Linked DNA regions of Oryzias latipes. The protein of the gene in region 1 purifies or fractionates together with the protein of each later gene. This does not show direct contact. Links are inferred from orthologs where the notes say so. Each region holds a gene or a part of one and is shown on either strand. Other genes may lie near its edges.

Evidence for each region.
Region 2: the proteins of ift80 (region 1) and ift57 purify together in Homo sapiens (affinity purification with mass spectrometry; 3 studies listed by BioGRID and IntAct, counting the BioPlex papers as one, with this or other methods). This does not show direct contact. The link is inferred for Oryzias latipes from reciprocal best matches to the Homo sapiens genes IFT80 and IFT57.

The regions. Positions count from the first base shown.
Region 1 is NC_019871.2:13,452,878-13,456,696, reverse strand, and holds part of ift80 (intraflagellar transport protein 80 homolog), read left to right. Parts: intron 1-799; coding exon 800-935; intron 936-1,030; coding exon 1,031-1,178; intron 1,179-3,020; coding exon 3,021-3,192; intron 3,193-3,819.
Region 2 is NC_019875.2:10,101,512-10,106,026, reverse strand, and holds the start of ift57 (intraflagellar transport protein 57 homolog), read left to right. Parts: upstream 1-1,406; 5' UTR 1,407-1,783; coding exon 1,784-1,917; intron 1,918-2,330; coding exon 2,331-2,505; intron 2,506-2,617; coding exon 2,618-2,736; intron 2,737-3,430; coding exon 3,431-3,521; intron 3,522-3,649; coding exon 3,650-3,718; intron 3,719-4,515. UniProt on the Homo sapiens protein: Required for the formation of cilia. Plays an indirect role in sonic hedgehog signaling, cilia being required for all activity of the hedgehog pathway.

The DNA.
Region 1 (3,819 bases):
AACTATCGCTGGGATGTACAATATGCATTCATTGCTGACATTTATATGCTGATTAAAATAGGGAGGTCAGTCAAAGTTGGATATTTTTCTTGTTTTTTTATTTTATTATAATTTTGATATTATTTATTTTTATGTACATCAAAAATGTATGTTTGTATGTATGTTAAAGTCAGTGAAACATTTTTACTCATTTTTATTTTCTTTGTTTTGTTTTTCTTACAGGTATTTGTAAAAATTCCAAAAACAACAGTTGAAAGTGATAATTGTGTTTTTGTTTTAGTAATATACACTTTTTTTCGATCTTGGGGCAACTAAATCCCAGCACGAGGGTCAAAAGTAAAATGTTGTAATTCAAAGGAATATTAAATCATGTTTGCAGGAAGTTCACAGCTGAAGAAAGATAACAGACACATTCAGAAAAATGTATAAAAGGTTTTCAGTGTACAAAAAGCAAGTGACATGGAATTATAGCAGCGCGAAAAAGATGTAGAGGTAGCAGCAAGTTGGTGTTTGTCAGCAATCTTTGTCTGCCAAGACTCAAAAGCTTTAAGGTATTGTACCAAAGCCAGCGAGCACAAGTCAAAAACACACACAGGTTCACTAACACACATTGCCATACCTTGTCTCTCTGTTTTTCGTACACACACTAAAACTTGGCAGGTTGTCGGCTTACTCTGCAAACGGTTTCTCCCTTTATTTCTTTTCCTGACTGTTTGTCCACACTCCATCATTTTCTCCTCACGTCCTTCTTACCTTGTTACTTTTGTGTGTGTGTCTCTCTCTTTTTTTTTGTGTGCAGCTGGAGGTGGTGGAAATAGCTCTGGATCAGTGTGGCCCAGCCACTGACAGGAAAATTGCACTGATAGATAAAAACCGCGACCTTTACTTGGCCTCTGTGCGTCATTTTGGGCGAGAAACCAAAATCTGCAAAATCGGTGAGTCATAAGGGGGGGGCAAAGGATTCCACCTGGAAAAATCTGTAGTGGTAGTCTCCGTTTTTAAATACGGATGTCTTTACATTTTTTTATAGGCACTATGGTGGACAATATAGCATGGAATGATGCTGCGAACATCCTTTGTGGAATTCAAGACAATCAGCTGACTGTGTGGTGTTACCCAAGTGTTGTCTTCACGGATAAGGAACTTCTACCTAAAACGCTGCACATACGAGACAGCAGGTAAATCTATATTAAATGTAACAGGTGGGTGTGGTGTAACTGTTTTTTTGTTAATGGATGATTCCTTCTTACTTACATTGTAATTGTTCTTTAAGGGCTCACTGCTAGTTATGTTAATAAAGTTTTAATCTTTTTTTTTCTAAATGTAAAATACTAATACTTGTGTATATTAATAAATTCCCAACTTGACACTTAAAGCACTTTTAAATGTTATAAGCTTTGCTTGATTTTTAAGGCTGCTTTGAAAAGCATCAATTATTCACTAGAAAGAGCTAATTAGGTTGTTAGTTATTACTTTTAGAAACATGTTTAATAGTTTTTGAAAAACATGTTTTAACTTATGAATTTTTAACTATTACCAATAATATTTTATTCATGTTAAGAAGCTAAAAAAAATGATGGTAATAATATTCACTGCATGTATAGTAAATCACAAAACCTTCATCAAATTTTATATTTTTTTGGAGCCAAAAATCTCTTCCTGTATGTATGAACACGTGTAATGAATGTTATGAAGTAAAATGCAAAAGTCCTCAGCCAGTTTTCATTTCTTACTACCAGAGATCTTTACCAGATACAGGAGTTAATTGCAAGACATACAAGAAAATACAGATAGATGAAAAAAAAATGCTGTTCAATTTTAAAAAACCTTGAGGGTCAATGTTTGATACAATCGACTTTATTCCTCTGCACAGCCTAAATCCTTTTTATCCAAAATCTCTTATAACTTCTCTAAGTAGTCTTACTGGAAGACATGCCAGGATGTTCTTTGCCAGGATGATCTGTTACTGCCTCGATGATCAGGTTTCCATTGTGTTTGATTATGTTTGTACTGCATTCGTCAGAATCTGCCATCATTGCTAGAATTTTTTTGTTTTTGAAAAAGGAATAAAGCCATGTGAAACCAGGTGTGTGTCAGGTGATACTGCATGATGGATCAAAATCTGAGAGTACTTTAGTTTTTAAACCAGCTTTCAAATATAAAAAAAAAATAATTTTCAAGTAAACTTTTAATAATTTCATCACTTGCTATTGTAAATTTAAAGTCAAATATAATACTGATTATCTGCATACCTCTACTTATTAAATAACTATAATTTGGTTACTTTTTCAGTAAAGACATTCAAAACATGATATTATATTTTAACATGATGTTATATCTTTTGTTAGCCAGTTATTAGTAAAACTTTAGTTGGTGCCTTTATGTTTTTGCAATAACTAAGTCTTTAAAATATGATACATAGTTTTACTAGACAATTCTACAATACCATGTCCTTCTCATTTTTCGGTAAAGGTACTTGGTGTATACTTATAAAGCATTGAGGAATATTCACGCATTTACACACTGATGGCGGCTCCGCTGCCCAACACTGGTGCCAAAGTTTAACCACTAGGAGCAATCTGGGGTTCAGTGTTTTGCCCAAGGATACTTCAACACATGAGCAGGCAGGGAAGAAATCAAACCTGCAATCTGTCAATCAAAGGTTGACTATTCTACCTCGGCACCTCTGCTGCTCTAGGATTTAAACCCTAGACTTTTTCTATGGTTTAAAATACTAAACACGTATAATTGTAAGATTGTTTTTAGATCGTTCAGCTACCTAAGTTTAGTATATTTATTAGTATTAAAAGGATTTAAAGAATCAGGGATTGCTAAAGACTAATTTCCTTTCCTTCAAATCCAATGAAGCAGATTGTATACAAATATAATTTGACCTCTTCTGACTTCTAATTCAGGAAAAAGCAGCCTGAAAACTGTGTTTCTGTGACCCAAAAGTGAGGTGAAGGTTTCATGTTTCAACATTTCACATCTGTGTATGTTTTCTGTGTGTCTCTGTGCAGTGAGTTCAACAGTGCGCCCCGCATTCTGAACTTTTCAGGCACCAAAGTGACATTGCGCCAGGGCGACGGTTCACTGGTGTACAGCAGTGTGCCGCCATACATTGCACTGCTGCATGAATACTGCAGCTCTGCACGCTGGGAGGATGCACTGTGTTTGTGCCGGTTAGTCAAAGTGAGTAGCCCATTTCTCCTATTTTATAGAACAAGTCTTGCATTTTGTGCGTCTCAGACATCTGCTTGGATGTATGTGAAACAGGCTAACCGAGCCATGAGAAGGTAGTCGACAGGTTTATAGAACCACAACAGCAGGCTTTAATTAGCCTGTAATTAGCCTCGTGACAGCATTTACCGGATTAACCCCCCACCCCCAGACCTCACTGTGTGACCTTGCTGTAAGACCATCTAAACGTACGCACTCCTTCACACTGAGGACAAAGATCAACGCTCTTTGCTTAACAAGAGGTGGCACTTCAATTCTGAATAAATTGACAATGTTGTAGAAACAGTATAAATAAAAAAAGTTACCTGTTTCAACTGATTTTTTCTTCTTTTTTTTTACACTGAGTATTTTTTTCCCTTGGCCCCTCCTCTTTCAACTTCTGGTAAAAGCTTGGTGACACTGTGGCTTTTCCCAGAATCCCGCTTGTTATTTACAGCTACTTCCCAGCATATAGAAGCTGATGCATGGAAGAGTTTTAAGCAACAGCCACAAACATAACTAGCAGCTGGGGAAGCGTGTTGTCTAGCAGAGATAATGGAACAGAAACAGCGTTTTTTTTTATTTTAAAAATGTGTTTTG
Region 2 (4,515 bases), on another chromosome or scaffold:
GTCAGATCTTTCTCTCAGAACTACTGCAGTGAGCATCTACAGGTTCAGAGCTGTGCTTTGAAGCAGATGGAAGTGGGAGCAGCGGCAGGACGCCTCCTCCACTCCTGCGTTCGCTCGCGTGTTCTGTCACGCGTGAACACTAAAGCTATTACTGTTTGTACCTCTTCAGAGGATTATTTCCTACATTTTGTCTCCAGATGCAGAAGATGTTTTTAAAAGGAGGAAAGACATGAAGAGACTTTTCCATTTGAGAAACGTCTCACTGAAAGGACGTCGGGCCTCTTCAGCCTGACGCAGAGACGCTCTCCGTGACAAGTGTTACTCATCTTACTGTGTCAATAAAGTTCTGCAAGTTAAACGCTGTATGATGAACAAATGTGTTTCTACTTAAAAACACCGAAGTTAAAGGTTTGAACTCCTTACAAACTTATTGGCAAACTGACAAACACCCACAATCCATTATAGGAAAAACTTTTTTGGGGAATTGTTTTGGAATTTAATTAGATTATGAGGTTCTGTGCAAAAACGAAACACCCCCCCCCCCCCCCCCAAAAAAAAAAAAACCATATGCATTTAATTGTAAAGGAATTTAATCAAAGTTTAAAGGTGACATTATCTGTTTATTATCTTTTATCTATATGTAGAGATTTTGCTTCCTTTAAAAAAAAGAATTCCATTTAATTTTGCTTTCGTACCTTTTTTCTTTTTGTCAATAAGTGTATTAAAAAAGAAACAAGCACAATGATGGGTGTTATACTGTAATGATTATGCACCCCGTCAACCTTTTTCTAAAAGAAATCTTCAAAATAAATGTGAAAATAAAAAAGTTTGTCCAAAAAATATGTACCCAAAATTATGACAGTATTGGTCAAAATTATAAGGAAAGAAAAACACAGACACCCTGTTGGCAAAAAAAAAACCCAAAAAACGTATTTAATAATAATGCCTGAGCAGCATCATAAAACATTAAAGAAAAAATCAATTTAATCTGAAAATATCTTAATTCCAATGTCCTTGTAAATTTACAGCTGACCCTTCAGTTTCAAAATACCTTACATTTTAAGTTCCTTCTACATACCTAAAAAAAATGAAGTAGTTTTAACGGGTTTTTTTGGAATTTTTTTTCCCCACTATCAGCAGGTTGTTAAACATTTGTATTTTCATTTTGCTCCTTTCACTTTAGAATAACAGAAAGATGATGCACTTTAACTTTAAGCCTTTTAGATGGCTCCATGCACTGTTGGACATAAATTACCTTCTTTTTTAATCTGAGATTAAGATAGTACAATCAAAATAACAGTAGAATTTCTTGCATGGTGTATTTGTGTACAAATGCCTCAGTAAATGCAAAAAGGATATTTTCATTTTAAGAACAAAATCCCAGTCCCAATATTCAGGTCCCTCTCCCGCCCTCTAGGGGGCGATGTTTGACTCTATATTCTAGCAGAAGAAGAGATCAAACTCAAGTTAGCAAACAAATCTACCAAGTTTCTTATGCTAAGGACGGAGCCCTCGAACTTGGTCACACCCATTCTGTTTTCCAGACAGTTTGAATGTTGTTTTGTTGCTGTTGAGCAAATTCTCAATGCGCATATTTAAAGTTTAAAGGGAGGAAAAAGAAATACGTGTTAAGAAAAGGGCTACTTAGCTTTCGGTTGCTAGGCAACGGGCCTACAGTCAACCTGAGCTAGCAGAGCAGCGTGTGCTAATCGAACAAACAAGGCCCCAGAAAACATTTATTTTTTTAGTGGATTTTAAAGCGGTTTGAAAAGTAGCTGGGCTCATGGCAGAGGAGGATGAGCGGGGCCCGGGAGCCGCTCACCGGATGGTGTCGGTGATGGAGGGACTGTTAGAAAAGCTCGACGCTCTGAACTACGAGGAGCTTCTGGACAAACACAACATGAAGAAAGTGTGCAGGTCAGGAACGAAACGAGCCAAATGACGGGTTTAAGCTGAATTTCAGCTCCCTGAAGACGACGTTTTGAAGCAGAACACGATAAGAAGCAGTGATGATATCTGCCGGAACAGAGCTAATAGAACAGAACCTGAGCTGGACCGTCGATTGTGTTAAATGAAAAAAACAAAGACAAAAGTTGAAAACAGCTTTGATCACATTTTGTACTTTTCCCGAGCACTAAATCTTTATTTTTATACAATTTTAAATCAATTTTAAATACACTTAAGAAAATAGCAGTAAGTCTACAAATAAATGCCTAAAGTGTAATACATCTTTCCAGACTGCTTATTATTGAAGTTGTCTTCCTAAATGTGTTTCATTTCAAACATGATCTGATCTTGTGATTCATGTATCTTCTTCCTTCTCTTCCCAGGCACTACTTTGTCTCCAACTCCCACCTGTCCTCCAATCCGGGTGAGCAGTTTTACATGTTCACCATCATCGCTGCCTGGCTCATCAACGTGGCAGGGAGGCCGTTCACCGAACCCCGGGAGCACGACGAGCCCAACGCCACCGTGTCCAACATCCTGGCGGAGCTGAGAGCCTTTGTGAGCTGCTGTTTCACATGCAGATGATCCAATATGTCCCTTTCTGTGTGACTTAGACTCTGATCTCAGATGTGTGAGGACGACCTCTGACTGTGACCCTGGTGGGTTTCAGGGCGTAAAGGTGGACTTCCCTCCCTCCAAATTGAAGACGGGCTCAGGCGAGCACGTCTGCTTGGTGTTGGACCGACTGGCCGACGAGGCTTTGAAGAGGAGAAACTTCTCCTTCAAAAGGTGCTTCTGCTCTGCTTTACGCTGGGACATCTTTTGGGCCAGACACGGGTTCTAGGCTGGTACTGGAGCCAGTTCAAGACTGGAATGAATGAAGCAGTTTTACAGCTGCAAGGTTGGAGTGTCTTTCTTCTTGGGTCCCAACAATACCGGTTGTGGTCAGAAGTCAGTTTGGTTAAGTTCAGGCCGCCACACCTTAAAGATCTCCGATTAAAATTGTGTTTGTGGTGTTTTTAATGTTTTGTGGCATTTTTCTCATTATAGAAGACCTATATGAAGAAAGTAAAGCATAAAATGACCTTCCTGAAGCTGCAATATGGCTCCCCATATTTTGTTGTACCGGTGATGTTAGGTTGGGGATGTGAGGGACTGTAAGCTAGTGGAAGAGAGTGTAAAACAAAGGGATGATGGGAAATGAGGACAGGCTTTCTCTGCCCCAATAGTCCCCCCCACAACTTAAAGGTGTATTTCTAATGAACTGTTGCTGCTCTGCAGAAACGATATCCTAGTAAAGGACACTTTTTTTTTTTTAATTTTGGCTAAAATCTGCACCATCATAATTAAAAAAACACTGGGGGACACTTTTACAGTACATCAGATAGATCACTGTGGTGGGACTTTACAGATTTGACAACAGCGAGGCCTCACTGGCTGCTCCAGTTTGAGATGAAGTGTTCTTCTCCCTCCTCCCCTTTAGGCCAGATTACCCGTCAGAAACCCCGGAGGAAGAGTCGATGCTGGAGGACGATGCAGAAGTCACACTCAGCACAGCAGAGGAGGAAATATTGGTCAGCACTTCACAGAGAAAAATGCTGACAGCTTATTTCAACGCCGCTTTTGCAAAAACTGGTGTCCTTTTTGTTTTTCATTCTTGTATTTGATTTTTTAAAAGATTGTTTTCTAATTGTGACTTCAGGAGGAAGATGAGGATGAGGAGGAAATTGCGATGGATCTGGAGTCTCTGAAGTTGCGGAACTTCCACAATGTGAGAAAAACTTGTCTTTATACAGACAAGAGAGAGCACTCCCATTGACTGTAGATGAGAGCTGGACTGAGTGACTCCGCCCCCCCCCCCCCCCCCCCTCGCGTTCCTAATAGGAAGGACCCGCTGGCTCCAAGAAGCCAAAGACTTCCATCGATAAATAAACAACTCTTACTCAGTCATTCTATGTGTCAGGATGACCATTATTGCTCTGATACCTTTTTAATATGTTCTTCATAATCCAAATTTTTTCCCTCTGATATTTCTTCTATGATTCAATTTATTCAAGTTATAAACCGACCAATCAGGTGCCTCAATAAAAGCATGTGTCCTGACATTGAACGTTCAAAACGTTTGACAGATTCTCCCGAGCCGGCTTTAAAGTGCTAGGGGTGTGGACTTCCACAAGCTCACTCCTGATTGGCGAGAGTGGTTGCCATAGAAATGATGACTTTGATCGATTCGGTCCTACCACTCTGACGTCCTTTGGTTTCAACGTGGCGGCATCCGTTATGCAAAAAAAAAAAGGCGACTGAATTGACTTCTTTTGGTTGGGGCTGGAAGTGAGGCATTTTCTACCACAGGGGTGGGCAATTCCAGGCCTCGAGGGCCGGTGTGTCTGCATGATTTCAAGATAGCCTTTCCCTACTCATGGCTGATTACCTGGTTCAGGTGTGTCCAGCCAATAATCTTGCCCTACTCATGACTGATTACCTGGTTCAGGTGTGTCCAGCCAATTAGAACATGCCAGAGCAGGGTATGCTGGAAAACATGCAGGAATGCGGCCCTCAGTGCCCACC